Xenopus tropicalis: one gene and its partner. The main gene of each other region encodes a partner of the protein of the gene in region 2 in a complex. Links are inferred from orthologs where the notes say so. Each region holds a gene or a part of one and is shown on either strand. Other genes may lie near its edges. The genes, in order: timp-1 and matrix metalloproteinase-18.

Evidence for each region.
Region 1: the proteins of matrix metalloproteinase-18 (region 2) and timp-1 are in contact, whole or in part, in a crystal structure (PDB 1UEA), measured with the Homo sapiens proteins. The link is inferred for Xenopus tropicalis from reciprocal best matches to the Homo sapiens genes MMP3 and TIMP1. Residues at the interface, in NP_002413.1 of Homo sapiens: Phe100, Thr102, Phe103, Phe171, Tyr172, Gly178, Asn179, Val180, Leu181, Ala182, His183, Ala184, Tyr185, Ala186, Thr207, Thr208, Gly209, Thr210, Val215, His218, Glu219, His222, Phe227, His228, Tyr237, Pro238, Leu239, Tyr240, His241, Ser242; in NP_003245.1 of Homo sapiens: Cys24, Thr25, Cys26, Val27, Pro28, Pro29, Val52, Thr56, Leu57, Tyr58, Pro87, Ala88, Met89, Glu90, Ser91, Val92, Cys93, Thr121, Cys122, Leu156, Ser157, Pro159, Gln173, Leu174, Gly177, Glu179.

What each region holds. Positions count from the first base shown.
Region 1 is NC_030684.2:1,434,894-1,449,777, forward strand, and holds timp-1 (uncharacterized protein LOC100135142 precursor), read right to left. Parts: upstream 13,458-14,884; 5' UTR 13,429-13,457; intron 12,218-13,428; 5' UTR 12,209-12,217; coding exon 12,100-12,208; intron 11,094-12,099; coding exon 11,011-11,093; intron 10,926-11,010; coding exon 10,808-10,925; intron 9,985-10,807; coding exon 9,863-9,984; intron 8,473-9,862; coding exon 8,254-8,472; 3' UTR 8,125-8,253; downstream 1-8,124. Other genes in the region: syn1 (synapsin-1), read left to right, coding at 7,764-7,853. UniProt on the Homo sapiens protein: Metalloproteinase inhibitor that functions by forming one to one complexes with target metalloproteinases, such as collagenases, and irreversibly inactivates them by binding to their catalytic zinc cofactor.
Region 2 is NC_030678.2:161,718,610-161,733,956, reverse strand, and holds matrix metalloproteinase-18, read right to left. Parts: upstream 13,516-15,347; 5' UTR 13,436-13,515; coding exon 13,334-13,435; intron 12,398-13,333; coding exon 12,153-12,397; intron 11,820-12,152; coding exon 11,671-11,819; intron 11,573-11,670; coding exon 11,447-11,572; intron 11,320-11,446; coding exon 11,158-11,319; intron 10,770-11,157; coding exon 10,652-10,769; intron 10,564-10,651; coding exon 10,430-10,563; intron 9,846-10,429; coding exon 9,686-9,845; intron 8,915-9,685; coding exon 8,811-8,914; intron 8,012-8,810; coding exon 7,911-8,011; 3' UTR 7,720-7,910; downstream 1-7,719. UniProt on the Homo sapiens protein: Metalloproteinase with a rather broad substrate specificity that can degrade fibronectin, laminin, gelatins of type I, III, IV, and V; collagens III, IV, X, and IX, and cartilage proteoglycans.

The DNA of each region.
Region 1 (14,884 bases), on a different chromosome or scaffold from region 2:
GTATGGGACTGAGTGTATGGGACTGAGTGTATGGGACTGAGTGTGTGGGACTGAGTGTATGGGACTGAGTGTGTGGGACTGAGTGTATGGGACTGAGTGTATGGGACTGAGTGTATGGGACTGGGCCAATGATACCAATGCCCATAACTCCTTGTGGGAACTTAATAGAAAGATGAAATTAGATTCATCAATTCTAAATGACCCCCCCGGTCCCATACAGACTAAACATCCCTACTGTGTGACCTGCCCCTGCCCAGATACTCCTATCTGACAAACCGAGAACCCAAATCCAGTGATGTTTGGACCCGTATGAAAGGCTATAGTAAATGACACATATACTCAGGATTAGAGTTGGGCATTCACTCCCCCACATGGCATGACTCTTATCAGACAGGGATTAGAGTTGGGCATTCCCTCCCCCACATGGCATGACTCTTATCAGACAGGGATTAGAGTTGGGCATTCCTTCCCCCACATGGCATGGCCCTTATCAGCCAGGGATTAGAGTTGGGCATTCCCTCCCCCACATGGCATGACTCTTATCAGACAGGGATTAGAGTTGGGCATTCCCTCCCCCACATGGCATGGCCCTTATCAGCCAGGGATTAGAGTTGGGCATTCCCTCCCCCACATGGCATGACTCTTATCAGACAGGGATTAGAGTTGGGCATTCCTTCCCCCACATGGCATGGCCCTTATCAGCCAGGGATTAGAGTAGGGCTTTCACTCCCCCACGTGGCATGGCCCTTATCAGCCAGGGATTAGAGTAGGGCTTTCACTCCCCCACGTGGCATGGCCCTTATCAGCCAGGGATTAGAGTAGGGCTTTCACTCCCCCACATGGCATGGCCCTTATCAGCCAGGGATTACAGTTGGGCATTCACTCCCCCACATGGCATGGCTCTTATCAGCCAGGGATTAGAGTTGGGCATTCCCTCCCCCACATGGCATGGCTCTTATCAGACGGGGATTAGAGTTGGGCATTCCCTCCCCCACATGGCATGGCCCTTATCAGCCGGGGATTAGAGTTGGGCATTCCCTCCCCCACATGGCATGGCTCTTATCAGCCGGGGATTAGAGTTGGGCATTCCCTCCCCCACATGGCATGGCTCTTATCAGCCAGGGTTTAGAGTTGGGCATTCCCTCCCCCACATGGCATGGCTCTTATCAGCCAGGGATTAGAGTTGGGTATTCCCTCCCCCACATGGCATGGCTCTTATCAGCCAGAGATTAGAGTTGGGCATTCATTCCCCCACATGGAATGGCCCTTATCAGCCAGGGATTAGAGTTGGGCATTCACTCCCCCACATGGCATGACTCTTATCAGACAGGGATTAGAGTTGGGCATTCCCTCCCCCACATGGCATGTCTTATATCAGCCAGGGATTAGAGTTGGGCATTCATTCCCCCACATGGAATGGCCCTCATCAGCCAGGGATTAGAGTTGGGCATTCACTCCCCCACATGGCATGACTCTTATCAGACAGGGATTAGAGTTGGGCATTCCCTCCCCCACATGGCATGGCCCTTATCAGCCAGGGATTAGAGTTGGGCATTCCTTTCCCCACATGGCATGGCCCTTATCAGCCAGGGATTAGAGTTGGGCATTCCCTCCCCCACATGGCATGGCTCTTATCAGCCAGGGATTAGAGTTGGGCATTCACTCCCCCACATGGAATGGCCCTTATCAGCCAGGGATTAGAGTTGGGCATTTACTCCCCCACATGGCATGGCTCTTATCAGACAGGGATTAGAGTTGGGTATTCCCTCCCCCACATGGCATGGCTCTTATCAGACAGGGTTTAGAGTTGGGCATTCATTCCCCCACATGGAATGGCCCTTATCAGCCAGGGATTAGAGTTGGGCATTCACTCCCCCACATGGCATGACTCTTATCAGACAGGGATTAGAGTTGGGCATTCCCTCCCCCACATGGCATGTCTTATATCAGCCAGGGATTAGAGTTGGGCATTCATTCCCCCACATGGAATGGCCCTCATCAGCCAGGGATTAGAGTTGGGCATTCACTCCCCCACATGGCATGACTCTTATCAGACAGGGATTAGAGTTGGGCATTCCCTCCCCCACATGGCATGGCCCTTATCAGCCAGGGATTAGAGTTGGGCATTCCTTCCCCCACATGGCATGGCCCTTATCAGCCAGGGATTAGAGTTGGGCATTCCCTCCCCCACATGGCATGGCTCTTATCAGCCAGGGATTAGAGTTGGGCATTCACTCCCCCACATGGAATGGCCCTTATCAGCCAGGGATTAGAGTTGGGCATTCACTCCCCCACATGCCATAGCCCTTATCAGCCAGGGATTAGAGTTGGGCATTCACTCCCCCACATGGCATGGCTCTTATCAGCTGGGGATTAGAGTTGGGCATTCACTCCCCCACATGCCATAGCCCTTATCAGCCAGGGATTAGAGTTGGGCATTCACTCCCCCACATGGCATGGCTCTTATCAGCCAGGGATTAGAGTTGGGCATTCACTCCCCCACATGGCATGGCTCTTATCAGCCGGGGATTAGAGTTGGGCATTCCCTCCCCCACATGGCATGGCTCTTATCAGCCGGGGATTAGAGTTGGGCATTCACTACCCACATGGCATGGCCCTTATCAGCCAGGGATTAGAGTTGGGCATTCACTCCCCCACATGGCATGGCTCTTATCAGCCGGGGATTAGAGTTGGGCATTCACTACCCACATGGCATGGCCCTTATCAGACGGGGATTAGAGTTGGGCATTCCCTCACCCACATGGCATGGCTCTTATCAGCCAGGGATTAGAGTTGGGCATTCACTCCCCCACATGGAATGGCCCTTATCTGCCAGGGATTAGAGTTGGGCATTCACTCCTCCACATGGCATGGCTCTTATCAGCCAGGGATTAGAGTTGGGCATTCACTCCCCCACATGGCATGGCTCTTATCAGCCAGGGATTAGAGTTGGGCATTCCCTCCCCCACATGGCATGGCTCTTATCAGCTGGGGATTAGAGTTGGGCATTCACTCCCCCACATGCCATAGCCCTTATCAGCCAGGGATTAGAGTTGGGCATTCACTCCCCCACATGGCATGGCTCTTATCAGCCAGGGATTAGAGTTGGGCATTCCCTCCCCCACATGGCATGGCTCTTATCAGCCGGGGATTAGAGTTGGGCATTCACTCCCCCACATGGCATGGCCCTTATCAGCCAGGGATTAGAGTTGGGCATTCCCTCCCCCACATGGCATGGCTCTTATCAGCCGGGGATTAGAGTTGGGCATTCACTCCCCCACATGCCATAGCCCTTATCAGCCAGGGATTAGAGTTGGGCATTCACTCCCCCACATGGCATGGCTCTTATCAGCCAGGGATTAGAGTTTGGCATTCCCTCCCCCACATGGCATGGCTCTTATCAGCCGGGGATTAGAGATGGGCATTCACTCCCCCACATGGCATGGCCCTTATCAGCCGGGGATTAGAGTTGGGCATTCACTCCCCCACATGGCATGGCTCTTATCAGACAGGGATTAGAGTTGGGCATTCCCTCCCCCACATGGCATGGCCCTTATCAGCCAGGGATTAGAGTTGGGCATTCCTTCCCCCACATGGCATGGCCCTTATCAGCCAGGGATTAGAGTTGGGCATTCCCTCCCCCACATGGCATGGCTCTTATCAGCCAGGGATTAGAGTTGGGCATTCACTCCCCCACATGGAATGGCCCTTATCAGCCAGGGATTAGAGTTGGGCATTTACTCCCCCACATGACATGGCTCTTATCAGACAGGGATTAGAGTTGGGCATTCCCTCCCCCACATGGCATGGCTCTTATCAGCCAGGGATTAGAGTTGGGCATTCACTCCCCCACATGGCATGGCCCTTATCAGCCAGGGATTAGAGTTGGGCATTCACTCCCCCACATGGCATGGCTCTTATCAGCCGGGGATTAGAGTTGGGCATTCACTCCCCCACATGGCATGGCTCTTATGAGACAGGGATTAGAGTTGGGCTTTCACTCCCCCACATTGCATGGCTCTTATCAGACGGGGATTAGAGTTGGGCATTCCGTCCCCCACATGGCATGGCTCTTATCAGCCAGGGATTAGAGTTGGGCATTCCCTCCCCCACATGGCATGTCTTATATCAGCCGGGGATTAGAGTTGGGCATTCACTCCCCCACATGGCATGGCTCTTATCAGACAGGGATTAGAGTTGGGCATTCCCTCCCCCACATGGCATGGCTCTTATCAGCCGGGGATTAGAGTTGGGCATTCACTCCCCCACATGGAATGGCCCTTATTAGCCAGGGATTAGAGTTGGGCATTCACTCCCCCACATGGCATGGCCCTTATTAGCCAGGGATTAGAGTTGGGCATTCACTCCCCCACATGGCATGGCTCTTATCAGCCAGGGATTAGAGTTGGGCATTCCCTCCCCCACATGGCATGGCTCTTATCAGCCGGGGATTAGAGTTGGGCATTCACTCCCCCACATGGCATGGCCCTTATCAGCTGGGGATTAGAGTTGGGCATTCACTCCCCCACATGGCATGGCTCTTATCAGACAGGGATTAGAGTTGGGCATTCCCTCCCCCACATGGCATGGCTCTTATCAGCCAGGGATTAGAGTTGGGCATTCACTCCCCCATATAGCATGGCCCTTATCAGCCAGGGATTAGAGTTGGGCATTCACTCCCCCACATGGCATGACTCTTATCAGCCGGGGATTAGAGTTGGGCATTCCCTCCCCCACATAGCATGGCTCTTATCAGCCAGGGATTAGAGTTGGGCATTCCCTCCCCCACATGGCATGGCCCTTATCAGACAGGGATTAGAGTTGGGCTTTCACTCCCCCACATGGCATGGCTCTTATCAGTCGAGGATTAGAGTTGGGCATTCCCTCCCCCACATGGCATGGCCCTTATCAGCCGGGGATTAGAGTTGGGCATTCCAGGTTGTGAGGCCTTTACACATGGCTGGTTCCAGACCCAGTGACCAGAGGCCTGTTATATATCTCTTTCTGGCACATTTCTGGAAGATTTTGGGATACCTTGGCCTGCTTGATTAACCCTTACAGGCCTATATCATGACACCCAGCGTGGGTATAATAGTGCCCAGAATGCCCAGCGTGGGTATAATAGTGCCCAGAACACCCAGCGTGGGTACAATATTGCCCAGAATGCCCAGCATGGGTATAATAGTGCCCAGAATGCCCAGCGTGGGTATAATAATAGTGCCCAGAATGCCCAGCATGGGTATAATAGTGCCCAGAATGCCCAGCGTGGGTATAATAGTGCCCAGAATGCCCAGCGTGGTTATAATAGTGCCCAGAATGCCCAGCGTGGTTATAATAGTGCCCAGAACACCCAGCGTGGTTATAATTGTGCCCAGAACACCCAGCGTGGTTATAATAGTGCCCAGAACACCCAGCGTGGGTATAATATTGCCCAGAACACCTAGCGTGGGTATAATAGTGCCCAGAATGCCCAGCGTGGGTATAATAGTTCCCAGAACACCCAGCGTTGGTATAATAGTGCCCAAAACACCCAGCGGGAGTATAATAGTACCCAGAACACCCAGCGTGGGTATAATAGTGCCCAGAACACCCAGCGTGGATATAATATTGCCCAGAATTCCCAGCGTGGGTATAATAGTGCCCAGAACACCCAGCGTGGGTATAATATTGTCCAGAATGCCCAGCGTGGGTATAATAGTGCCCAGAAATCCCAGCGTGGGTATAATAATAGTGCCCAGAATGCCCAGCATGGGTAGTGCCCAGAATGCCCAGCGTCGGTATAATAATAGTGCCCAGAATGCCCAGCATGGGTAGTGGCCAGATTGCCCAGCGTTGGTATAATAGTGCCCAGTATGCCCAGCATGGGTATAATAGTGCCCAGAATGCCCAGCATGGGTATAATAGTGCCCAGAACACCCAGCATGGGTATAATAGTGCCCAGAATGCCCAGCGTGGGTATAATAGTGCCCAGAATGCCCAGCATAGGTTGTCCCCAGAATGCCCAGCGTGGGTAGTGCCCAGAATGCCCAGCATGGGTATAATAGTGCCTAGAATGCCCAGCGTGGGTAAAAGTGCCCAGAAAGCCCAGCGTGGGTATAATAGTGCCCAGAAATCCCAGCGTGGGTATAATAGTGCCCAGAAATCCCAGCGTGGGTATAATAGTGCCCAGAATGCCCAGCGTGGGTATAATAGTGCCCAGAAAGCCCAGCGTGGGTATAATAGTGCCCAGAATGCCCAGCGTGGGTATAATAGTGCCCAGAACACCCAGCATGGGTATAATAGTGCCCAGAACGCCCAGCGTGGGTATAATAGTGCCCAGAATGCCCAGCGTGGGTATAATAGTGCCCAGAAAGCCCAGCGTGGGTATAATAGTGCCCAGAATGCCCAGCGTGGGTATAATAGTGCTCAGAATGCCCAGCGTGGGTATAATAGTGCCCAGAATGCCCAGCGTGGGTATAATAGTGCCCAGAACACCCAGCGTGGGTATAATAATGCCCAAAATGCCCAGCGTGGGTATAATAGTGCCCAGAATGCCCAGTGTGGGTATAATAGTGCCCAGAATGCCCAGCATGGGTATAATAGTGCCCAGAATGCCCAGCGTGGGTATAATAGTGCCCAGAATGCCCAGCGTGGGTAGTGCCCAGAATGCCCGGCATGGGTATAATAGTGCCCAGAATGCCCAGCGTGGGTATGATAGTGCCCAGAATGCCCAGCGTGGGTATAATAGTGCCCAAAATGCCCAGCGTGGGTATAATAGTGCCCAGAATGCCCAGCGTGGGTATAATAGTGCCCAGAATGCCCAGCGTGGGTATAATAGTGCCCAGAATACCCAGCGTCTGTATAATAGTGCCCAGAATTCCCAATGTGGGTATAATAGTGCCCAGAATGCCCAGCGTCTTTATAATAGTGCCCAGAATTCCCAGCGTGGGTATAATTGTGCCCAGAATACCCAGCGTGGGTATAATAGTGCCCAGAATGCCCAGCGTGGGTATAATTGTGCCCAGAATACCCAGCGTGGGTATAATAGTGCCCAGAATGCCCAGCGTGGGTGTAATAGTGCCCAGAACCTTTGGTACTGATCCATTTCTGTATTGGGAGGGGGGGAGGGAGGGATCCTGGGTACTGATCCATTTCTGTATGGGGGAGGGGGGGAGGGATCCTGGGTACTGATCCATTTCTGTATGGGGGAGGGAGGGGGGAGGGATCCCGGGTACTGATCCATTTCTGTATGGGGGAGGGGGGAGGGATCCTGGGTACTGATCCATTTCTGTATGGGGGAGGGGGGGAGGGATCCTGGGTACTGATCCATTTCTGTATGGGGGAGGGGGGAGGGATCCTGGGTACTGATCCATTTCTGTATGGGGGAGGGGGGGAGGGATCCCGGGTACTGATCCGTTTCTGTATGGGGGAGGGGGGGAGGGATCCTGGGTACTGATCCATTTCTGTATGGGGGAGGGGGGAGGGATCCTGGGTACTGATCCATTTCTGTATGGGGGGGGGGGAGGGATCCCGGGTACTGATCCATTTCTGTATGGGGGAGGGGGGGAGGGATCCCGGGTACTGATCCATTTCTGTATGGGGGAGGGGGGGAGGGATCCCGGGTACTGATCCGTTTCTGTATGGGGGAGGGGGGGGGGGGATCCCGGGTACTGATCCGTTTCTGTATGGGGGAGGGGGGGGGGGGGATCCCGGGTACTGATCCATTTCTGTATGGGGGAGGGGGCAGTTATCCCGAGTTCTGATCCGTTTCCTTCTCTTTCCAGTTCTCCCAGTTGGTGCGGTTACACAGGAAGTTGGGGCCGGACGACTTCCCTCTCATAGAACAGACTTATTACCCCAACCATAAGGAGATGGTGAGTCACGGGGCGGCGGCGGCTGGGAGTCATTTCCCTGGGAATTAGCTGCCTGTGCTGTGACCTGAGTAGCCCTCTGGGTAGCCCCGCCCCCCTGGGTAGCCCCGCCCCCATACTCTCTATGCCATGGAATGTGCCCTCAAATCCCCTGCTGGGCAGCACACATGGGGCACGGGGAGCACTCAGGTAGATGGGGGGAGGCTTTGGGGGTACCCAGTATTCGGGACCCCCGTGTGTATAGAGTAAGGATATGCAGATGCTGGAGACATTGTACAAAAACCATAAAAAGACATTTATTTCCCCCGGTACAAAGGGGACGTGCACTCAAATGTACAAACCAACTCCTCCCCCTTAAAGTGGCCCCTCCCATTATCCCCCACGAAGCACCCCCCCCCCCAGGTTATTCTGCTGCGGAACCCGACGCTGCCGCCTTATTCCGGGCAGCGATGGCGCTGGGTTTCTGGGACTCCCACGAGCACAAACCGCTGCCCTGGTCCACACACGCCATGTACTTGGACTGGGACCCATTCAGGGGCTCCATCCAGTTCACCAGTACGTCGGTCCAAAGGCACTGGTTGTCGGACTCCAGGGAGCAGGTACCACTGTAGCAGGGCACAATCTGTAGGGGGGGGAAAGAAATGCCCAGTTACTATCAGCCAATAGAAATCCTCCCCTAGCGACCCACTCTAATGGGGGCAATAGGGATCTCATAGCTACTGCAGTACCAGTCCTGGGCACTAGGGGGAGCAGGTACCACTGTAGCAGGGCACAATCTGTAGGGGGGGGAAAGAAATGCCCAGTTACTATCAGCCAATGGAAATCCTCCCCTAGTGACCCACTCTAATGGGGGCAATAGGGATCTCATGGCTACTGCAGTACCAGTCCTGGGCACTAGGGGGAGCAGGTACCACTGTAGCAGGGCACAATCTGTAGGGGGGGGAAAGAAATGCCCAGTTACTATCAGCCAATGGAAATCCTCCCCTAGTGACCCACTCTAATGGGGGCAATAGGGATCTCATGGCTACTGCAGTACCAGTCCTGGGCACTAGGGGGGGGCAGGTACCGCTGTAGCAGGGCACAATCTGTAGGGGGAGGAGAGAAGTGCCCAGTTACTATCAGCCAATGGAAATCCTCCCCTAGTGACCCACTCTAATGGGGGCAATAGGGATCTCATAGCTACTGCAGTACCAGTCCTGGGCACTAGGGGGAGCAGGTACCACTGTAGCAGGGCACAATCTGTAGGGGGGGGGAGAGAAATGCCCAGTTACTATCAGCCAATGGAAATCCTCCCCTAGTGACCCACTCTAATGGGGGCAATAGGGATCTCATAGCTACTGCAGTACCAGTCCTGGGCACTAGGGGGGGCAGGTACCACTGTAGCAGGGCACAATCTGTAGGGGGGGGGAGAGAAATGCCCAGTTACTATCAGCCAATGGAAATCCTCCCCTAGTGACCCACTCTAATGGGGGCAATAGGGATCTCATAGCTACTGCAGTACCAGTCCTGGGCACTAGGGGGGGCAGGTACCACTGTAGCAGGGCACAATCTGTAGGGGGGGGAGAGAAGTGCCCAATTACTATCGGCCAATAGAAATCCTCCCCCAGCGACCCACTCTAATGGGGGCAATAGGGATCTCATAGCTACTGCAGTACCAGTCCTGGGCACTAGGGGGGGGCAGGTACCACTGTAGCAGGGCCCAATCTGTAGGGGGAGGAGAGAAGGGCCCAGTTATTATCGGCCAATAGAAATCCTCCCCTAGTGACCCACTCTAATGGGGGCAATAGGGATCTCATGGCTACTGCAGTACCAGTCCTGGGCACTAGGGGGAGCAGCTATATAGGTCAGCAAACAGAATGGGAAACTGCATGGCAAGACACAGGGGGGTTATGGGGGGAGGCTCACCCCTATTGGAGGGCACAATATAATATGGGCTGGTCAGTGAATAAAGAGAGGGTCCGGGTGGGGGCAAGACAGGATTGGGAGGGGTAACTTGCCCCACGGCTACTCACACTGCAGGAACAGGACTTGGGATAGACCTCCTGGAAGCCCTTCCTCTGGGCGACCGATAGTGAGGCCCAAGGAACGATGAAGTTGCACTGGTCGATTTGCAGGTTACCGTTCATCACGTGCCCTGGGCAGGGGCAATAAAGAGATTGGCATCAGGGGGCGTGTTGGTAGAGAGGCGGGGTTGATACTTGAGGGGGGCAGGGGATTGATACCAACCCCAGCAGGGCACATGGGGCATTCTCTTCACTGCAGCTGCCAATCACCCACTAACTGTTCCCCCTTCTGCCCCATCCTCTTCCTCCCTGTGCCACAGCCCTTACAGCATGGTGCTTGGGTGTTAGAGAGCGGGGCAGAGCTCTTACCTGTGATGAGGAACACCTACCCCCCCATCCCCTTCTGCTGCCCCATTCCCTTCCTCCCTGTGCCACAGCCCTTACAGCATAGTGCTTGGGTGTTAGAGAGCGGGGCAGAGCTCTTACCTGTGATGAGGAACACCTATCCCCCCCATCCCCTTCTGCTGCCCCATTCCCTTCCTCCCTGTGCCACAGCCCTTACAGCATAGTGCTTGGGTGTTAGAGAGCGGGGCAGAGCTCTCACCTGTGATGAGGAACACCTACCCCCCGTCCCCTTCTACTGCCCCATTCCCTTCCTCCCTGTGCCACAGCCCTCACAGTATAGTGCTTGGGTGTTAGAGAGCGGGGCAGAGCTCTTACCTGTGATGAGGAACCCCTATCCCCCCATCCCCTTCTGCTGCCCCATTCCCTTCCTCCCTGTGCCACAGCCCTCACAGTATAGTGCTTGGGTGTTAGAGAGCGGGGCAGAGCTCTCACCTGTGATGAGGAACCCCTATCCCCCCATCCCCTTCTGCTGCCCCATTCCCTTCCTCCCTGTGCCACAGCCCTCACAGTATAGTGCTTGGGTGTTAGAGAGCGGGGCAGAGCTCTCACCTGTGATGAGGAAGGCCTGGCTCTTGTTGGACATTTTGTGCTCGTAGCCGCACAGACTCTCCATTGCCGGGGTGCTCAGGAACTGGATGTCGTCCATTCCGTCGGGGGCCTTGAAGATCTATAGAAAAGGGGAAAGTGTTAGTGGGGGGGTGCAGGGGCAGCAGTAACAGGGAAGTGGGGGGGGGGGGGGGGGGGGCACTTACCTTAGTAGTTTTGACCTCATACGTCACTCTGCCCGGTTCTTCCGCCTTCTGCTGGGTTTTGCCGATGAATCTCGCCCGGATAACTGCGCAGAGACAGGGGGGTGAGCGGGACGAGCCAATGGAGAATCATCTTTGTACATAGCCCCGCCCAGCTCAGAGACGTTTATTATAAGACGGGAATTCCTGGTGCGTTTCCCTAATCTATAAATAACTGCCCGGCTTCCTGTTGTTGCCCAATGTGAAACTGGCACAGACGGTGCGAGAGAGCCGCCCGGGGGTAGTTACTGGGTATTGGGGCAGAATAGAGGCACTAGTGCCACGTGTGCCTGACTTACTGGCCGGGGGGCTACCAGGGGGAATCCTGTGCCCAAACCAGTTTGCACGTGGGGGTGAGAATGAACTCGGCACAGTGATGTGAGTGCACTCTCGCCCAGCCCGGGGGCTCACACGTAGCTGTCACATTCTGTCTGTCTCTCAGCACCCACACACTGAGCAGTCACCCCCTCCCCCCCTTGTAGCCCACCTACTACCTGAGCCTGGGGGTCTCCCTGCACTTGCTGCCATACCCCTATTATCATTCTCCCCCCCCCCCTGTGAATAATGTTGTTTTTAAAGGGCAAGTATAACCGAACAGTCACATTAACACATATAACTGGAATATAAAGTTCCATCTAGTTGCTTCTGGTCCTGTCCCATAGCAACAGTGCATACGTTCTGCCCCAGTTCAGAAATATATGTTTGGGGCTGTGGCACACTGGGCACTTTCAGGGCCCCCAAATCCTCCCCCCGTAGCCTTGCATTGATATCAGCTTGTGCCCTGCTTGCAGACTTTTTACCCCCCGCAGGGGCAGGAAATTGCTGATTACGACATTTTTAAGCCACAGTCATGTGACTCCTGGGTTCCGGCAATTTAGGGTTTAGTTGCCCCCACCCCATGAGCTGGAAATCACTCAGTAACCATCAGTTGCCCCACTGCCCCTATTATACCATTAGTTAGAATGGGAGCCCATACGGAAAGTAGGGGGTGCTGTGAGCCCTTTCTCCACATACCCCCCCCCCCAAAACAAACATTTGTATGAGAACACTCACCAAAATCTGCGTTGCAGTATGCAGACTGGGGGTGCCTTTGTCCACAGCTGCACCCCCACACCCCCTGGCTGAGGCACCCCAGAACCAGCAGAACCACAAGGCCCAACATGATATCAAACTGCAGGAGGAAAGAGAGGAGTTAGAGGTGTGGGGGGTAAACAGGCAGCAGCAGGGGGAGAGGGGCAGAATGAGTAGGGAGGGAGGGGTGAGATGGCGCTGTATTTGGCTTCCCCGCCCCCCCAGCTAGGGAGTCAGGCTGTCTGCAGAGGGGGGCAATGAGAGCTATTTTAGCTGTTAAGGGGTACAAGCAGGTGTGTTCTAAGGAAGCAGGGAGGGGATAGATTGTTAGCTCTTGGTGCAAGTAAGGGAGCAGGGAGGGGATAGATTGTTAGCTCTTGGTGCATGTAAGGGAGCAGGGAGGGGATAGATTGTTAGCTCTTGGTGCAAGTAAGGGAGCAGGCAGGGTAGATTGTTAGCTCTTGGTGCAAGTAAGGGAGCAGGGAGGGGATAGATTGTTAGCTCTTGGTGCAAGTAAGGGAGCAGGGAGGGTAGATTGTTAGCTCTTAGTGCAAGTAAGGGAGCAGGGAGGGTAGATTGTTAGCTCTTAGTGCAAGTAAGGGAGCAGGGAGGGTAGATTGTTAGCTCTTAGTGCAAGTAAGGGAGCAGGGAGGGTAGATTGTTAGCTCTTAGTGCAAGTAAGGGAGCAGGGAGGGTAGATTGTTAGCTCTTAGTGCAAGTAAGGGAGCAGGGAGGGTAGATTGCTAGCTCTTAGTGCAAGTAAGGGAGCAGGGAGGGTAGATTGCTAGCTCTTAGTACAAGTAAGGGAGCAGGGAGGGTAGATTGCTAGCTCTTAGTGCAAGTAAGGGAGCAGGGAGGGTAGATTGTTAGCTCTTAGTGCAAGTAAGGGAGCAGGGAGGGTAGATTGTTAGCTCTTAGTGCAAGTAAGGGAGCAGGGAGGGTAGATTGTTAGCTCTTAGTGCAAGTAAGGGAGCAGGGAGGGTAGATTGCTAGCTCTTAGTGCAAGTAAGGGAGCAGGGAGGGTAGATTGTTAGCTCTTAGTGCAAGTAAGGGAGCAGGCAGGGTAGATTGTTAGCTCTTAGTGCAAGTAAGGGAGCAGGGAGGGTAGATTGCTAGCTCTTAGTGCAAGTAAGGGAGCAGGCAGGGTAGATTGTTAGCTCTTAGTGCAAGTAAGGGAGCAGGCAGGGTAGATTGTTAGCTCTTAGTGCAAGTAAGGGAGCAGGCAGGGTAGATTGCTAGCTCTTAGTGCAAGTAAGGGAGCAGGCAGGGTAGATTGCTAGCTTTTGGCGCAAGTTGAAAGCATCTGCGTACCTGATGGCAGGGCAGTCAGTCCGTCTGTGTCTCTCACAAGTACATCATTGTCTGTGCGGCTCTGGAATTTAAAGCTCCTCGCAGCCCCTCCCTGCCGTGATGTGATTGGCTCAGGGCCCAGGGTCTGTCTTTATTACTCAGAGATTTCAAAACATGAAGAAAGGGAAGTGGCTGGGAATTATAATGAGATTTGCCATCGGGGAAACCATTAACCGTGACGCAACTCGACTGCCATTTATCCCCAATCTCCCCATTTCTGTCATTCTCTATTTATTTATGTTCCCATCTTGCCATTTATATCCCCCCTTTCCATTTATATCCCCCCTTTCCATTTATATCCCCCCTTTCCATTTATATTCCCCAGTTTCCCATCTATATTCCCTTCTTCCATTATATTCCCGTTTCCCATTTATATGCCCTGTTTCCCATTTATATGCCCTGTTTCCCATTTATATGCCCTGTTTCCCATTTATATGCCCTTGTTTCCCATTTATATGCCCGTTTCCCATTTATATGCCCTTGTTTCCCATTTATATGCCCTTGTTTCCCATTTATATGCCCTGTTTCCCATTTATATGCCCTGTTTCCCATTTATATGCCCCTGTTTCCCATTTATATGCCCTTGTTTCCCATTTATATGCCCGTTTCCTATTTATATGCCCTTGTTTCCCATTTATATGCCCCTGTTTCCCATTTATATGCCCCTTTTCCCCATTTATATGCCCCTGTTTCCCATTTATATGCCCTTGTTTCCCATTTATATGCCCTTGTTTCCCATTTATATGCCCCTGTTTCCCATTTATATGCCCCTTTTCCCCATTTATATGCCCCTGTTTCCCATTTATATGCCCTTGTTTCCCATTTATATGCCCTTGTTTCCCATTTATATGCCCCTGTTTCCCATTTATATGCCCCTTTTCCCCATTTATATGCCCCTGTTTCCCATTTATATGCCCTTGTTTCCCATTTATATGCCCTTGTTTCCCATTTATATGCCCCTGTTTCCCATTTATATTCCCCAGTTTCCCATCTATATTCCCTTCTTCTCATTTATATTCCCTTCTTCCATTATATTCCCGTTTCCAATTTATATGCCCCTGTTTCCCAATTATATTTCCTTGTTTCCCATTTATATGCCCCTGATTTCCATTTATATGCCCCTGTTTCCCATTTATATTCCCCAGTTTCCCATTTATATTTTCCCATCTATATTCCCTTCTTCTCATTTATATTCCCTTCTTCCATTATATTCCCGTTTCCCATTCATATGCCCCTGTTTCCCAATTATATTTCCTTGTTTCCCATTTATATGCCCCTTTTCCCCATTGATATGCCCCTGTTTCCCAATTATATTTCCTTGTTTCCCATTTATATGCCCCCTTTCCCCATTTATATGCCCCTGTTTCCCAATTATATTTCCTTGTTTCCCATTTATATGCCCCTTTTCCCCATTTAT
Region 2 (15,347 bases):
TAATTAATCCTTACTGGATGCAAAATAATCTTATTGGGTTTAATTAATGTTGTATTAATTTTTTTTAATAGACCTAAGATATGAAGATCCAAATTACTGAAAGTAAAATAATAAGATATTCCCCTTATCCGGAATTCTCTTGGTCCCGAGCATTCTGGATAATGGGTCCTATACTTGTACTACAAAGTCATAGGCAATGCTGTGCATGCTTACAGAATACTTGCAGTAGCTCATAATCACCACTAGATGTCAGTGTTACAGCAGCCCTGAGCATCTAGCAGTTTACATCATATATTGGCGGACGATTCACGCAAAAAACAGAACCGAGTAACATGCAGTTTATGCCCCTTACTGGGGCAGAACAATCCTATTGGGTTTATTTAATGGTTAAATGATTCTCTTTTCTCTGTAATAATAAAACAGTACCTGTACTTGATCCCAACTAAGATATAATTACCCCTTATTGGGGGCAGAACAGCCCTATTGGGTTTATTTCATGGTTAAATGATTCCCTTTTCTCTGTAATAATAAAACAGTACCTGTACGTGATCCCAACTAAGATATAATTACCCCTTATTGGGGGCAGAACAGCCCTATTGGGTTTATTTAATGGTTAAATGATTCCCTTTTCTCTGTAATAATAAAACAGTACCTGTACTTGATCCCAACTAAGATATAATTACCCCTTATTGGGGCAGAACAGCCCTATTGGGTTTATTTAATGGTTAAATGATTCCCTTTTCTCTGTAATAATAAAACAGTACCTGTACTTGATCCCAACTAAGATATAATTACCCCTTATTGGGGGCAGAACAGCCCTATTGGGTTTATTTAATGGTTAAATGATTCCCTTTTCTCTGTAATAATAAAACAGTACCTGTACTTGATCCCAACTAAGATATAATTACCCCTTATTGGGGGCAGAACAGCCCTATTGGGTTTATTTAATGGTTAAATGATTCCCTTTTCTCTGTAATAATAAAACAGTACCTGTACTTGATCCCAACTAAGATATAATTACCCCTTATTGGGGGCAGAACAGCCCTATTGGGTTTATTTAATGGTTAAATGATTCCCTTTTCTCTGTAATAATAAAACAGTACCTGTACTTGATCCCAACTAAGATATAATTACCCCTTATTGGGGGCAGAACAGCCCTATTGGGTTTATTTAATGGTTAAATGATTCCCTTTTCTCTGTAATAATAAAACAGTACCTGTACTTGATCCCAACTAAGATATAATTACCCCTTATTGGGGGCAGAACAGCCCTATTGGGTTTATTTAATGGTTAAATGATTCCCTTTTCTCTGTAATAATAAAACAGTACCTGTACTTGATCCCAACTAAGATATAATTACCCCTTATTGGATGCAAAACAATCCTATTGGGTTTAATTAATGTTTTTATTGATTTTTTAGTAGACTTAAGGTATGGAGATCCAAATTACGGAAAGACCCCTTATCCGGAATACCCTTGGTCCTGCGCATTCTGGATAATGGATCCTATACCTGTACTTGGCTGTATTTACATAGACCTTTCTGATAAAGCTTACTTAGTTTTCACCTTTCCTTCTCCTTTAAAGATATATCATTAAAGATATAAAAATATGTTAAAGGAGAAGGAAAGGCTAGTAAAGAGTTAATCTCAAGCTGCAGGCATACCTTCAGTTCTCTCAATAGTGCCCTTAAGTCTCCCCATATTTCACCCGATCAGAAGCCAAACAGAGAAAAAAAACGCTGAGCTGGGTAGAGAAGATTCCCATAATGCATCGCTTCTTGAAGACTTGGCGACTTGTTACTGCAGGCGGCGCATGTGCACAGGGCAGGAGCGTCCGGTTGCCATGGCGACGCAGCATCGCCGAACTCTGTGACAAGCAGGAGGGGGAAGCGGGGGGCAGGTGCTGTGGGGGTTTGTGGCAGGAGCGGGGGGGTTTGTGGAGCTTGGGTGGGTTTGTGGAGCTTGGGGGGTTTGTGGCAAGAGCAGGGGGGTTTGTGGCAGGAGGGGGGGTTTGTGGCAGAAGGGGGGGGTTTGTGGCAAGAGCAGGGGGGTTTGTGGCAGGAGGGGGGGTTTGTGGCAGGAGCGGGGGGGTTTGTGGAGCTTGGGGGGGTTTGTGGCAAGAGCAGGGAGGAGCGGGGGGTTTGTGGCAGGAGTGGGGGGGTTTGTGGCAGGAGTGGGGGGATTTGTGGAGCTTGGGGGGCTTTTTGGCAGGAGCGGGGAGCGGAGGGGGGGCTGGCTTGTGCTTTTCAGCCCATACAGACACGCTGGACAAGATGGCGGCGCCGTTCACTGAAACAAGTATGTAGGTTCTAGTATGTGTATCTCTGTAAATCTTTCATTAGGCAAGCCAGGAATAGAGCGATTTTACACAGCAATAGTAGTACTATTTAATAGTGTGCTTAATAGGTTTTGACTTTCCTTGTCCTTTAAACAGAATAATAATGCCCTGACTGTAACAGCCTCTACATGGCAGGTAAGTACCTTGGTGGCTTTATCTTTAGATGATTCACTATGGGTATAAGTTTTGTTTGTTTTGGGAGAACATTTTTGACCTGATTGATGGTGAATTACCATCTCTATGGCTTGTAGCAACTGATTAAAGACAAATGCAAAACTATTTCTTGTTGTTTCTTACTCATAAGCTATTACACTAGCCTCATACAGTTGCACCTCCTACAGAAAGGAAATGAGCTTCAGAGCTTGGTTCCTTTTATCTATTAATAACCCAGTTTTCCCATAAGATCTCTATTGGTTTGGTTCCTCAGGGGCTCAGACTACATCCCACTTGTTTAAAGAGTAGATGGAAAATGTAACATCTTAACCCAAATCTTCCTTCTTCGTGTCCCAGAAGGTGACATTGTGCATAGCAAGTTACAGGCATTACTGAGGCTATTTCCCAATCCAGACTTCTCGCTAATAAAGCTACGGTCTCTAAACATCCCATTTCTTACTCATGTTTATTTGAGATGATAACGGAGCCCACTCATTTAATTATATTGACTCATTTGCTTTATCCCATCACAGAATGAGTTAACACCCATAAAGAATTATGTGTTTAATGCTTCTGATACCTTTCTAAAATTCAAAGTCTAGGCTACTAATAGTACAGGTATAGGACCTGTTATCCAGAATGCTCGGGACCAAGGGTATTCCGGATAAGGGATCTTTCCGTAATTTGGATCTTCATACCTTAAATCTACTAAGAAATCAATAAAACATTAATTAAACCCAATAGGATTATTTTACATCCAGTACAGATTAATTATATCTTAGTTGGCATCAAATACAAGGCCCTGTTTTATTTTCACAGAGAAAAAGGAAATTAGTTTTAAAAATCTGAATTATTTGATTAAAATGGGGTCTATAGGAGACAGGCTTTCCGTAATTCAGAGCTTTCTGGATATCGGGTTTCCGGATAAGGGATCCCATACCTGTATATTATATTAATGTCTTTTTATAGCACCACAGATGTATGTATATATGTATGTATAACTTTATTTATAAAGTGCCACAAGGGTACGCAGCGCTGTACAGTCTTACAAAATACAAAATTACACACAGGGAGGACAAGTGTTATAATAAATACAATAAATATATATAAATGCACAGGGAGTAAGTGCCATGTGGCATGAGACACAGTAGGAAGGAGGTCCCTGCCCTGTAGAGCTTACAATCTAAGTGGTTGGGTAATATACAGGCACAAATTGGAAGGTAAGAGTGCATCAGGTATGGGCATTTGCCCTTAAGTGCAGTTTATTCCTTAATGCAGGTTATAAGGAATAAACACAAATGGGGCACATTTATAATAAATTAGTAAATAAATATTTTAGCGTTAGGAGTTTCAGTACACATTTGGGATGAGGTCCTTCCCCTATAGAGCTTACAGTCTATTAGTCATTGTACTATAGCATGGTGCCAAATTCCAAATAAAAGAGCATCTAAGACACGGTTTTCTAAGTCTTTAAACCCCATGGACACCATGGTATTAGACCATGACCTGTTCTTCGCTTTCAAGGTTCCTCCTAGGTCCCAACTTCAAGGTCCTAAAGGCCTGGGGTCCCCGACACAAGCGCAAAGATGAAGATACGTGTGGGGCAGCCAGTGTTTATGGTTGGATTGTTTTTCTTTTGTAACCAACTGAAGCTAACTCTCAGATCTTTCTAAAGGAATCAAGTGCTACATTTGTATTTAATTCAATAAAAAGTGGAAAATGGAATGACTTTAGTATTAGGTTAGGTAAATATTTGTAGAAAAAAATCCAGTAAAAAATTATGGAGAAAAAGTAATGAGACTTAAGCAAATTGTCAGATTATATTGCATGACAGTTTAGTAGGAGACAGCTGCCAAAGGAAATTTTCAATGGAAAGTAGCAACTCATGCAGGGTATCTGGGGCCAGGGCCCTTACACACCTTCGGTTGATATGAGTTTAACATTGCTGTCTTCTGGGGACAGATTAGGACAAGAGTCCCCACTGGTGGAGTAATCAATCCAAGAAACTGCAAGACTCTACCCCTATCCCGAGGGCAGCCAATGTGACATTTTTATTAAGTGGTTGAGAGTAGTCATAATCATTTTATTTATGTGTTTTCTATTCAACAGTATTACACCTGCATCAGCTACTGGGTTAGTGGGATTGAAAGCACAGCCTGTTCCCCAGCAGGTTTTGTTGACCGGGCAGATTTCTCTGGAGTGTGTTGAAAATTGTTCAAGAGCAGCTGCAACAGGCAGGAAGGTTTAGTGAAAGAAATGACAAACATAATAGGAGAAATAAGACAGAAAATAGACAGAGAGAAATGTGTAGCTTGGGTTCTACTTTCTATTTATGTATCTATGTATGTATGAATCTATCTATCTATCTCTCTATCATCTATTTATCTATCTATCTATCTATCTATCTATCTATCTATCTATCTATCTACCATCTATTTATCTATCTTTATTTATCTATATATCTGTCTTTCTATCAATGTATCTATCTATCTATCATCTATCTGTCTGCCTGTCTATCAATCTATCATCTATCTATCTATCATCTATCTATTTATTTATTATCTATCATCAAGCTATCTGTCTTTAAAACTATATCTATCTGGTGTTTTGTTTTTATGTTGCAGTATTAGTATTATTATAGAATAGTGATGAGCGAATCTGTCCCATTTCGGTTCACCGAAAAAATTCGTGAAACGCTAGGGAAATTCGCGATATGGCGAAAAATCTGTGAAACACATTAGTCGGATGCAATTTTTTTTGCTGTGACCCCATGCCTAATTTGACCTTGCCGCGATTTTTTTTTTTTGATACGCAACAAATTGTTTTGCGGCAGATTTTCTCTGAAGTTCTGCGAAACTATTTGCCAATGGCAAAATGCGGAAATTCGCTGAGAATCCAAGCCTGGTGAAAAAATGTGCTCATCACTAGTGCTTCACCCCACCACACCACAACTGTTGTTGTCACCCCCATATCCTTTACCAAAAGACATTTTCCAGCAGACAGAACTATTTATCGACATGTCCAAATTAGGCAGGTTTTTCATATTCAGTTTCTGCTTAAATACATTGATGTTTATGGATTAAAGGGACACTACACCTTCATTTTGGGCAGTGATCCCCAACCAGTGGCTCAGGGGTAACATGTTGCTCCCCAACCCCTTGGGTGTTGCTCTCAGTGCCCCCAAACCCGGGAGTTATTTTTGAATTCCTGACTTGGGGGCAAGTTTTGGTTGAATAAAAACAAGATTTACTGCCAAATAAAGCCCCCTGTAAGCTACTCCCACATTAAATCTATTGTGTTTATAATGCCGTTAGAAGAAGCCAGTGGGTGTGATCTGATGTTCATTGGACAGGATATGAAATCTTTGGGGGCATAAGCTGTCAAATTCCATCCAAAGGACTTGCATGAATCTGCTTGTGTTTTCTCCCAACCTGCGCAAGAAGGTGCCGTACTAAGCACAGTTTTACTGGAAATGGCCCTTTATCTAAAAATGACACATTTTTGGCCTATATATTCTCAAGGGTCACGACTAACATGATCTGTGTTTGTTTTAACTTCTAGTTAGGATTAAAATCTAAAATTGCTCCAACCTACCTAAATGTTGTCCTATATTTAATGAATTGTTAGGAACAAAGAGACTTTTTATAGCTGAAAGATGTACGGGTAAAACTTGTTTTTTCGGATTCAGTCAAATGAGATGTGGCTGTGTGTGCCAAATACAGATTACTGTGGTTCTGTCTTTATAATGGCAAGTGGCTACTTTATGGTGGCCATACACTGGCCTATCTTGTATTGTATCCAGTTAATAATCCCACAGGCAAAATGAATATGATTGGCCGTACATGGTATGGTTACAATTCTATTGTTCTGTGTATTTGGGTTGACAGACTGAATGATGGTAATGGCTGAATAACTGTAATGGCAGAGAGTGGCAAGGAGGTGTGGCTCCACTTTACATCCTCATATACGAATGTACCAGGTATGGGCATTCACAGATAACATTTTTAAAAATGTCCTAGTTAAACCTTCATCCTTTTGTCACCTCATGGAATATCATAGCAGGTTTTCTGCACATGGTATTAATGAAAGAGAGATACAAGGAAATACAGGAACTTTGGCATTTAGAACATCACTTCTGCCCTGTTCATGCCATAGCAGGCACATATAGGTGGCACCGCACCATTTTGGGTGTTACAATGGCAGCACCAAAGGCTGATTCATCTCCATCTTTACCCTAAACATGCGGCTCTCTCATGATTGAAGAGCTCAGTAAATCTTTTTCTGCAAACGCCAAGGCTTATAGACCACAAACTGGGGTTCTCGATTTTTGAGTGACTATACTTGCTTCCCTTGTGTAAGTGAAGAACTCACTATTATATATAAGATGTGTATTGTTTATCATTATTATTAATATTTATCCATATCCCATATGTCTACATTCTACAATGCAGGAAGACATCATTCCTTAGTGACACAATAGAGGCCGATGCCTTTTCTTATGTTATTGCTGCACTGAAGTAAAGGAAGATGGTGCCTCGTGGGATTCTCTATGGGCATTCGGGTGCCTAATGAGAAATACAATAATAGTAGAATAAGTCAACACTAATTACAATGTAGGAAGGTGGAGTTGTGGCCTCCTATTTTTATATGGTCACAGAACTCCTCAGTGTGACTATTTATAACTAAAAGTAACACTATCAGCGGTGTAACTAGCATGCATTGGGCCCCCCGGCAAACACAGTATGTATGTATGTATGTATGTATGTATAACTTTTTCATAAAGTGCCACAAGGGTACGCAGTGCTGTACAGTCTTACAAAATTACACAGAGGGAGGACAAGTGATATAATAAATAAATACAATATATATATATATATATATATATATATATATATATATATATATATATATATATATATATATAATATATATATAAATACACAGGGAATAAGTGCCATGTGGTATGAGACACAGTAGGAAGGAGGTCCCTGCCCCTTAGAGCTTACAATCCAGTGATCCATACCCCAATCTCTCACCTCCCCACCCCTGCTTATGTCTCCATCCTGCCCCCTCCTTACTGGCAGGTAGGCCCTCCTGTCCCCCGGGCCCCCTCCAGCAACCGTGGGGTCTGCTTCCTCTATAGTTACCCCACTGCTGTCTATAGATATTAATGTCTGGCACAAAATTTTCTCTTTAAGCCAAATGCATGTTCACAAAAGAAGTAAAAAATCTATTTGAAAAATGAATAAATTTAATATACTTAATATCAAACATACATACCAAAAATGTAGACAGTATAATATAATAACACAACAACCACAAAAATGTTTATATAAATTAAAAATTTAAGTTAAATGTGAAAAGAAAATAAGGTGCTTCTTGTTCAGTTGGGTGCTCGTGTTGCTGCTGGGGCCTCTGGATTAGCAGTTCAACCAACTGGTGTATTTAAGCAGGCGCAAGACCCTCTTATTGGCTATGCTGAATTCATACTGCCGATTGCCATTGAAGAAATAGAGATTTCCTGAAATATAACATTAGGAAAAATAAATTCAGGGATAACTAGAGCTTATGTACTGCATTGATTTATAACTAAACCAGATGGATCAATAAACTCTGTTTCTAATAATTTATATATATATATATATATATATGTAGTGCAATTCTTCTGATAGCTCCAGATGTTTATTATATGCTAACAATATCAACACTAGAACCTATTCAGGCTCCAAATCTTAGAATAATAAGAGAACTAAAGCCTAAGAGAGGGTATGGCTAGATATGTTCATATACTGAACTTTATAGCTAGCTTAAACTGTAATGCTCCATGCTTAAAGCTGTCCACAACAGCTTCCCACCTCCTAATCCTATTAGGCCATTTTTTGAGTGTCATTGGCTCTGCACATGCTCAGTGTGCTCTGTACTGCTGTTGAGAAGCTCAGTTTAGGGATCATCAAAACATTAACAGAAAGTTACATGTGTAGCGGATGCTACTGGGCTGGTTATTCATCAGTTTCATTCATGCACTAGTTTCTGTAATGCTCTATAATGTGAATCTCAATTAATGACCAATCAGCCTTGCATTGGGATGGGCTGTTAAGGGAGCCCAAAACATAGGGTGTAGAATTTCCAGCCTTATTCTTAATTGAGCTTAAGTTCTCTTTTAATCATATATGAATTAAACAATAAACGTATAAACATATTAAATATTCCTGCTAAGAAAATTCAGTTTTATGGTCTTTACCAAGACACAAAACATCTATGGTTTATTGGCTGATGTAGTTATATGTTATGTAACAATGAAAGTGAATGGGTCTACTCACCATTTGATTGGAAAACTGCTTGCACCTTGTTTCCGACACCTGGGAATCCATTAATGATGCTCTGAGGAGAGTCTTTATCCATTTGTGATCTTCTTTCATCATAGCTATAGGGGAATAATTATTGGTTACAAAGGCTTTGTCTCTTTATGGAATCTATTGCAAGGCAGCCATAAATGCCCAGGATTGGTCTCTTATGAATTGATGCCTATTGCAAAGCCATGAATAAACAGGACTGGTCACGCAGTTTGGTCAGTTTGACCTTACTGTCCAACCTTCATATAGGCTTGGCCACTTCAAAGTTTAGTTTGGACAGGCAACTTTGTATGTGGACAGACTGATGATGTCCCTTCTTAGCTCATGGCTGAGGCATCAGCAGATCTAGGGGTGAAGGGTACCATAGATTTCAGTGATGAGATGGCCAATAATTTTCAACTCAAGCCCAGCCCTAACTTGCTACTTTCCAACCAATGTTTATTGGCAAGGTCAGCCACAACAGGGAAGGGGTAGGCACTATTGCATCACCAAAAGAGAGGAGCCTTGCTTGAGGTTTCACCTGCCACCCTGCCCAAACCTGCACGTGGGTCTCACCATCTTTGTGTGAACCCAACTCAACGAGTGAGTAAGCTCATGGGTTCCATGGGTTTTGGGTCAACCTGCTCATTACTAATAGCTTCCTCCCCCTTCAGCTCAAAACAAACCTTCAGCAGAGCAAATAATTTAGTGCTAGATGTCCTGTGTATAACTTCCTTCAGAAAGTTTTACAGCAGTTACTGACTTACATTTAAATAAATGCATGTCTATGTCTTAATATGGGAGATCTCCCTAAGTCATTTTTTTTTAGAGTTTTATATTTTAATAAATGTTAGTGCTTTTACCTCCAATACTGATTATTCACAAAGAAGTAGGTTTTCCTTGTTTCTTCAACATGAACAGCTGCATCGATTTTCTTTACAGTCTGGGGAAACCCAAGTTGGTAGATGCTCTTAGGGAATCCCTCCTCAATGTCGAAGCCTTTAAGAGCCCAGTATTTGGTTCCTAGGTAAATAGAAGGAGATGTTTTTAATTATTAACATACCCTTAAACGTCCAGCATAATTGTATTAACAACTGAAGGCTAAAAATGGTCATACATACACCATACATACAAGATTCACTAGCTTGGTGAGCTTTGGATCATACAGAAGGTCTACAGTGACCAGACAGATGAGAATCATATCAAACTGGAGTTCTCGCCCAATGTCTGATAGATATCTGACTGATTCTCAGCTATTGGATATTGGTAAGGCAGGCCATGTATGGCCAATGTATAGCCAAGCAAGGGAGACAAGAAACAGGGTCTGGTAGGACAGATGGGACAGGTCTGCAGTATAACAAGGCTAGGAAAAGCCAGTTTGGTCCCTGAGGTACGAGACCTTATTAAGACCATACGGTCTTATTGGAAGGTACAATTTGGTCTAGTAACCCATAAAATCAAACAATAATGTGCAGTTAACAAGCAACCTCATTGTTATTGGTGACTGAGCTTTCCCTAGTTATTTCAGTAGCTGCCCTATAATGAAGTAGATGAAGAATGCAAGGTCTGGATAGAATATCAGTGAAAAAAAGTATAAAATGATGTACCTTTAAAGAGAAAAACTTGATCCTTTTCCTGATTTTCATAGGCTGCCTGAATTCCGGTGGGAAGGGTTTTCCAGAAAGTTCTGATCTCATGCTGCTCAATCTCTGATTTATTGGGGATCTTGCGCCAGAAGGATCTAAATAACAAAAATAAATTGTATTTCTGGAATTTTTCTGGAAATCAAACATAACATTTACCATCCAAGAAACAAAATGCAATTTTACCTGTGTTTAAAGAACAAGATTTCTCCACGCAGTGTTGTTATAGCATCAAATGTTATGTTTGGGGGGCATGTTGTTGGGTTGATTGGTGTTGATGGTTTAGCGGGCTTTTCACTTGCTCCTGTCAATCAAAAGAAGTCATGGGATTTATTTAGATACTGTGTAAACATCTCCGGTATTGAGGTTGTTTTTCTAAAGCATATATGGCATATACAATGCAGCATGTTTCTATAGAAAATGTAAGTTCTAAGATTTTTCTGAAGAAGTTATAGAAAAAATATCTTCTTCCTCAATTCTCTACTTCTACTGCGTCGTCACTGATAGGACCTACGATTGCTGCTATGATTGCTGCTTAGCTGCATTTTAATCATCAGTGCTAATCGTTATTCCAAAGCTTTGGTTTACAACCTCATTCCAAAAAGATGGGTGAGTAAAGGGTTTAACCATTACTTGTTTTACCTCGCTCTGAAATATTAAACAGTCAGGATTCACAAGTAATTGTTACTTACCATACAGTGACTGGATTCCATTGATGTCATCCTGAGGCAGCTGGTATGTATTGGTATCGACGTAATGGTAGGTTGGGTACATAAGGGCATTAGGGTCATTAGAATGGTAGAGCCCAAGGGAATGGCCAAACTCGTGAGCAGCCACAAGGAACAAGTTGAAACCTTCAGAAAAAGTGAAAGTGAACATTAAGCATATTGACTGGTTTATTTTCATCTATCTATCTATCATCTTTCTAACGATCTATTGATTATTACCAACACCAGTTTTAGGGAGTGTATAAGAACCTACCAACTGATCCACTAGTCCAGTTCTCATCTTCGTCAAAATGTGCATCCCCTCCAATGTTGTTTCCAGGAGCGAATGCATGGGCCAGGGTACCATATGGGCCATCAAAAGGATAAAAATCATTATGAACTGTAGAGAAAGAATATTAAGAAATTGATATTTGTAAGGAGAAATTACATACACTGTACAATACATTACATAATAATTTATAAAAAAAAGTCAGGTACCTTGAGCTGCAAATGAGATATCAATATCAGCGACACCATCAAGGATTCTAGTAAAGGTAAGTGGGGTAACATCACTCCAGACCTTGAAAGCCTTCTGAATGGCCCGGTCCACCTCATCTTTGGGCATATCTGGGGTGTAGTTTAGTATTCTGTGGGGAAAGTGTGATTCAATGAATAACGTAATTATAATTCCATAGTATGTCATGAAATGAAAGCTGCCTTTGTTAAATCAAACACGGTTTCAATGCTTTGGTATGAAAATAGCTAGAATTTCAGCCACGAAGTGGAACAGAACTGCTTCTTTTTGGGAGAAAGGATGGAGATTTAGGCATTAAAGCCTTTTCATCAAATATAACATTTTTCAACCATATAAAACATGGGAAGAGGTAAAATTCACTAAGTAGTTGGCAGCAACGTAGGAAAGTAGGATTCAATTTGGCTTCACAGTAACAGTTGTGATGTTTAAGGGGCACATTGTGTACCTGTATGTCAGATCTTTCTTCTTCCAAACAGGGTTTCCAGGGAAGGTCGCAAAATTGCCGACGTCAGAAATCCCACACCGAGGTTGTTGCATCACATCTATGGTTTCCTGATCCAGTGTTCCAGTGACCTCCAAACCATAGAAGTCCTGCATCTCACGGATTTTCTCGGAGAATGCATTGCTGCCCTTCTTTCTTGACTGGCGGATCCCATTTGTCTGAAGGTTGAAGAATTTTTTCAAGAACTCCTGTAAAGATGTAATGGAACGGGTTCAGTTAAACATCCAGCTGCAAGAAACATAAGGTTCTCTTTGGGAGTATTATCCCAGTAGCCTGTACTGTTTGTTATTATTACTTCTTGTGTTAATGTCCAGCCAGCCAGAATGGCTCTTATTACCTATACTAGGCGGAACTTTCTATACTTCAAAATAATCAGTTCCCTATGCCTAGAGCATCCAAATAAGATTTCAAATAATTAGTTGTTTAAACCCAAATGTTCCTTTCATTCTAATTGCTCTTAATGCTCTGAATGCTTGTGTTCTGGAGTTGAAAGTTTTGCTTGCGTCATGAACAGTGACTTGCCCTGAGGCTACCAAAACATTTACACACTGCACATTCCAATAGGACTGTATTTCTGCCCACATTTATCCTAACTTACTTATCATCAAATCCAAAGTACTGCACATTGTATGTAAAGCCAGACAACAACATATTAGATAAATACATAGATAGATAGTTGGATAGTTAGATGGTAGATAATTAAATGGGAAAAAAGAAATTGATACAGAGACAGAATACATAGAATAGATAAATATAAATATATATATATATATATATATATATAAACACAGACAGAATAGATATATAATATATATAGAGGATAAATAGATAGAAAAAAACTTGTAAATATAGATAGATTGATATACAGATAGATAGATGGATAGATTGTAGATATAGAGAAATACTTAAATGAAGACCAATTATTAGGATAACTAACTGACTGTCTATGGATAGATAGATGATAGATAGATAGATGATAGATAGATAGATAGATAGAGGATAGACAGACACAGAGATAGAATAGATAGACAGACAGACAGGTAGACAGAATAGATAGATGATTGATAGATAGATAGATACAGAGATAGAATAAATAATACATATAAGCAAACCAATCTGCTCACCTCAGCAATCTGTCCATCTTTGTTATCTATGTCTGTCTGGGTCCTAGCAGGGAATGCCGTGCAACATGCTATACACAGCAGGAACACAATCCAGGACCTCATTGCTGCTCGTGGCTAAGTAGCTGTTTCTTGGAGCTTATTGCCTCAAAGGTTAAGCTTCCAACCTTGCTCTGACTTTCCATGTGTTGAACATGCCTATTTATATGATACCTGGGTGCCTTGGCCAGCCTGAGCAACATGATTCATCCTTTACAGCTTCCGTTAATTCCATGTAAAAGCATGTTTTTTTTTTTTAAACTGCCAGCAAGTTGTGACACGAATACACAGAGTAAACCCCACCATTGTGCAACATCCCTGCATGATTAATAAAGCATGTTTTGAGTAGAAAGGGGGACAACTTATGTTATGTCTATTAAACCTATAGAGATAGCCTATGGAGATATCCATATTCTCCTGTCAATCATCCTCAGCTCATATACAGCTCAGCCTTTCTGCAATTATGGGATTTGTATTTATAATCATCAAGGCTGCAGCAGCAGATATGTTATAAAGACTCCAAGAAATAACTGGATCCAGTGGTATTACTTTCATTTTATTTATTTTAATGGATCTTATTGAAATTTTCACTGGTATTTCCTCTGAGGGGCCGATTTACTAATCCACGAACGGATTGAAAGCGTCCGAATGCGTTTTTTTCATAATGATCAGTATTTTGCAATTTTTTTGTCATGACTTTTTCGTAAATTGTAGCGACTTTTTCGTAGCTGTTACGACTTGCGCGAATTGTCGCGACTTTTTCGTAGCCGTCGCGAAAAAATTGGAAAGGTTTGCCCGCCGTTTACTAGCGCTCAATACGAAAAAGTCACGACAATTCGTCTTAACGGCTACGAAAAAGTCGCGACGGCGACGAAAAAAACGCAAAAAATATGAAAAAGTCGCAAAATGTTCGTTTCCAATCCGATTTTTTCCCATTCGGGATTCGGATTTGTGGATTAGTAAATCAGCCCCTAAGTGTTTAATATAAAACAACCCTTATAGAAACCGATGTATCAGAAGGAAAACATTATTTAGTCATAGTACAGTAACACCAAATATCAAGATCATAGTATAAGCCCTGGTATTTTTTATTGCAGTTTATTTGTTATCAGTTCTGCAGTTTGTATCAGTTGTCTAAACAGAACTGCACCCAGTCTATTGCGTGACTATAAGCACATATTTCTATAGTGCCACTATATTTCCCAGCACTGTACTACAGAAAGATGTATATATCAAACATACAGATTACATACAAATATTGGCTGATTTAGAAGATAAAGAGTACCCTACTCACTATTATGATCCTGCTTTCTAAAGAATAGTTACTGTATATATTCGAGTATAAGCCTAGTTTTTCAGCACCCAAAATGTGCGATGGGTCCCTCCAGACTAGCACCCTCTGTCCCTTGTGTGCAAATTAGGCCACCCGCAACCAGACCCTCCAGTGCCCTGGCCTAGGCTCCCACTAGCAATACTTATTCCCCCTTACATCTCCTCCGGGACCGGGTCTGCTGCCAGTTTGCCAATGTGCAATAAGCGTGGGGTAGTACTCATATTGTTTTTGTTGACCCTCTTCTCCGCTTACAGAGCTAGTTTACTGTTTTTCTTTGAAATAAATATTGAAAAACATATACCCCACTGATGCCTCAATTAATGTAATTTTATTGGTATTTATTTTGATTATTAAAACTTAGCAGTAGCTGCTGCATTTCCCACCCTAGGCTTATACTCGAGTCAATAAGTTTTTCCAGTTTTCTTAGGTAAAATTAGGTACCTCGACTTATATTCGGATCGGCTTTTACTCGAGTATATACGGTACATAGTTACATAGGGTTGAAAAAAGACCAGAGCCCATCAAGTTTAACCCATCCAAGTAAACCCAGCACCCACAACCCACACCTACCTATCTATCCACTCACATACAGACCCACACTGACCTATCTATCCACTCACATACAGACCCACACTGACCTATCTA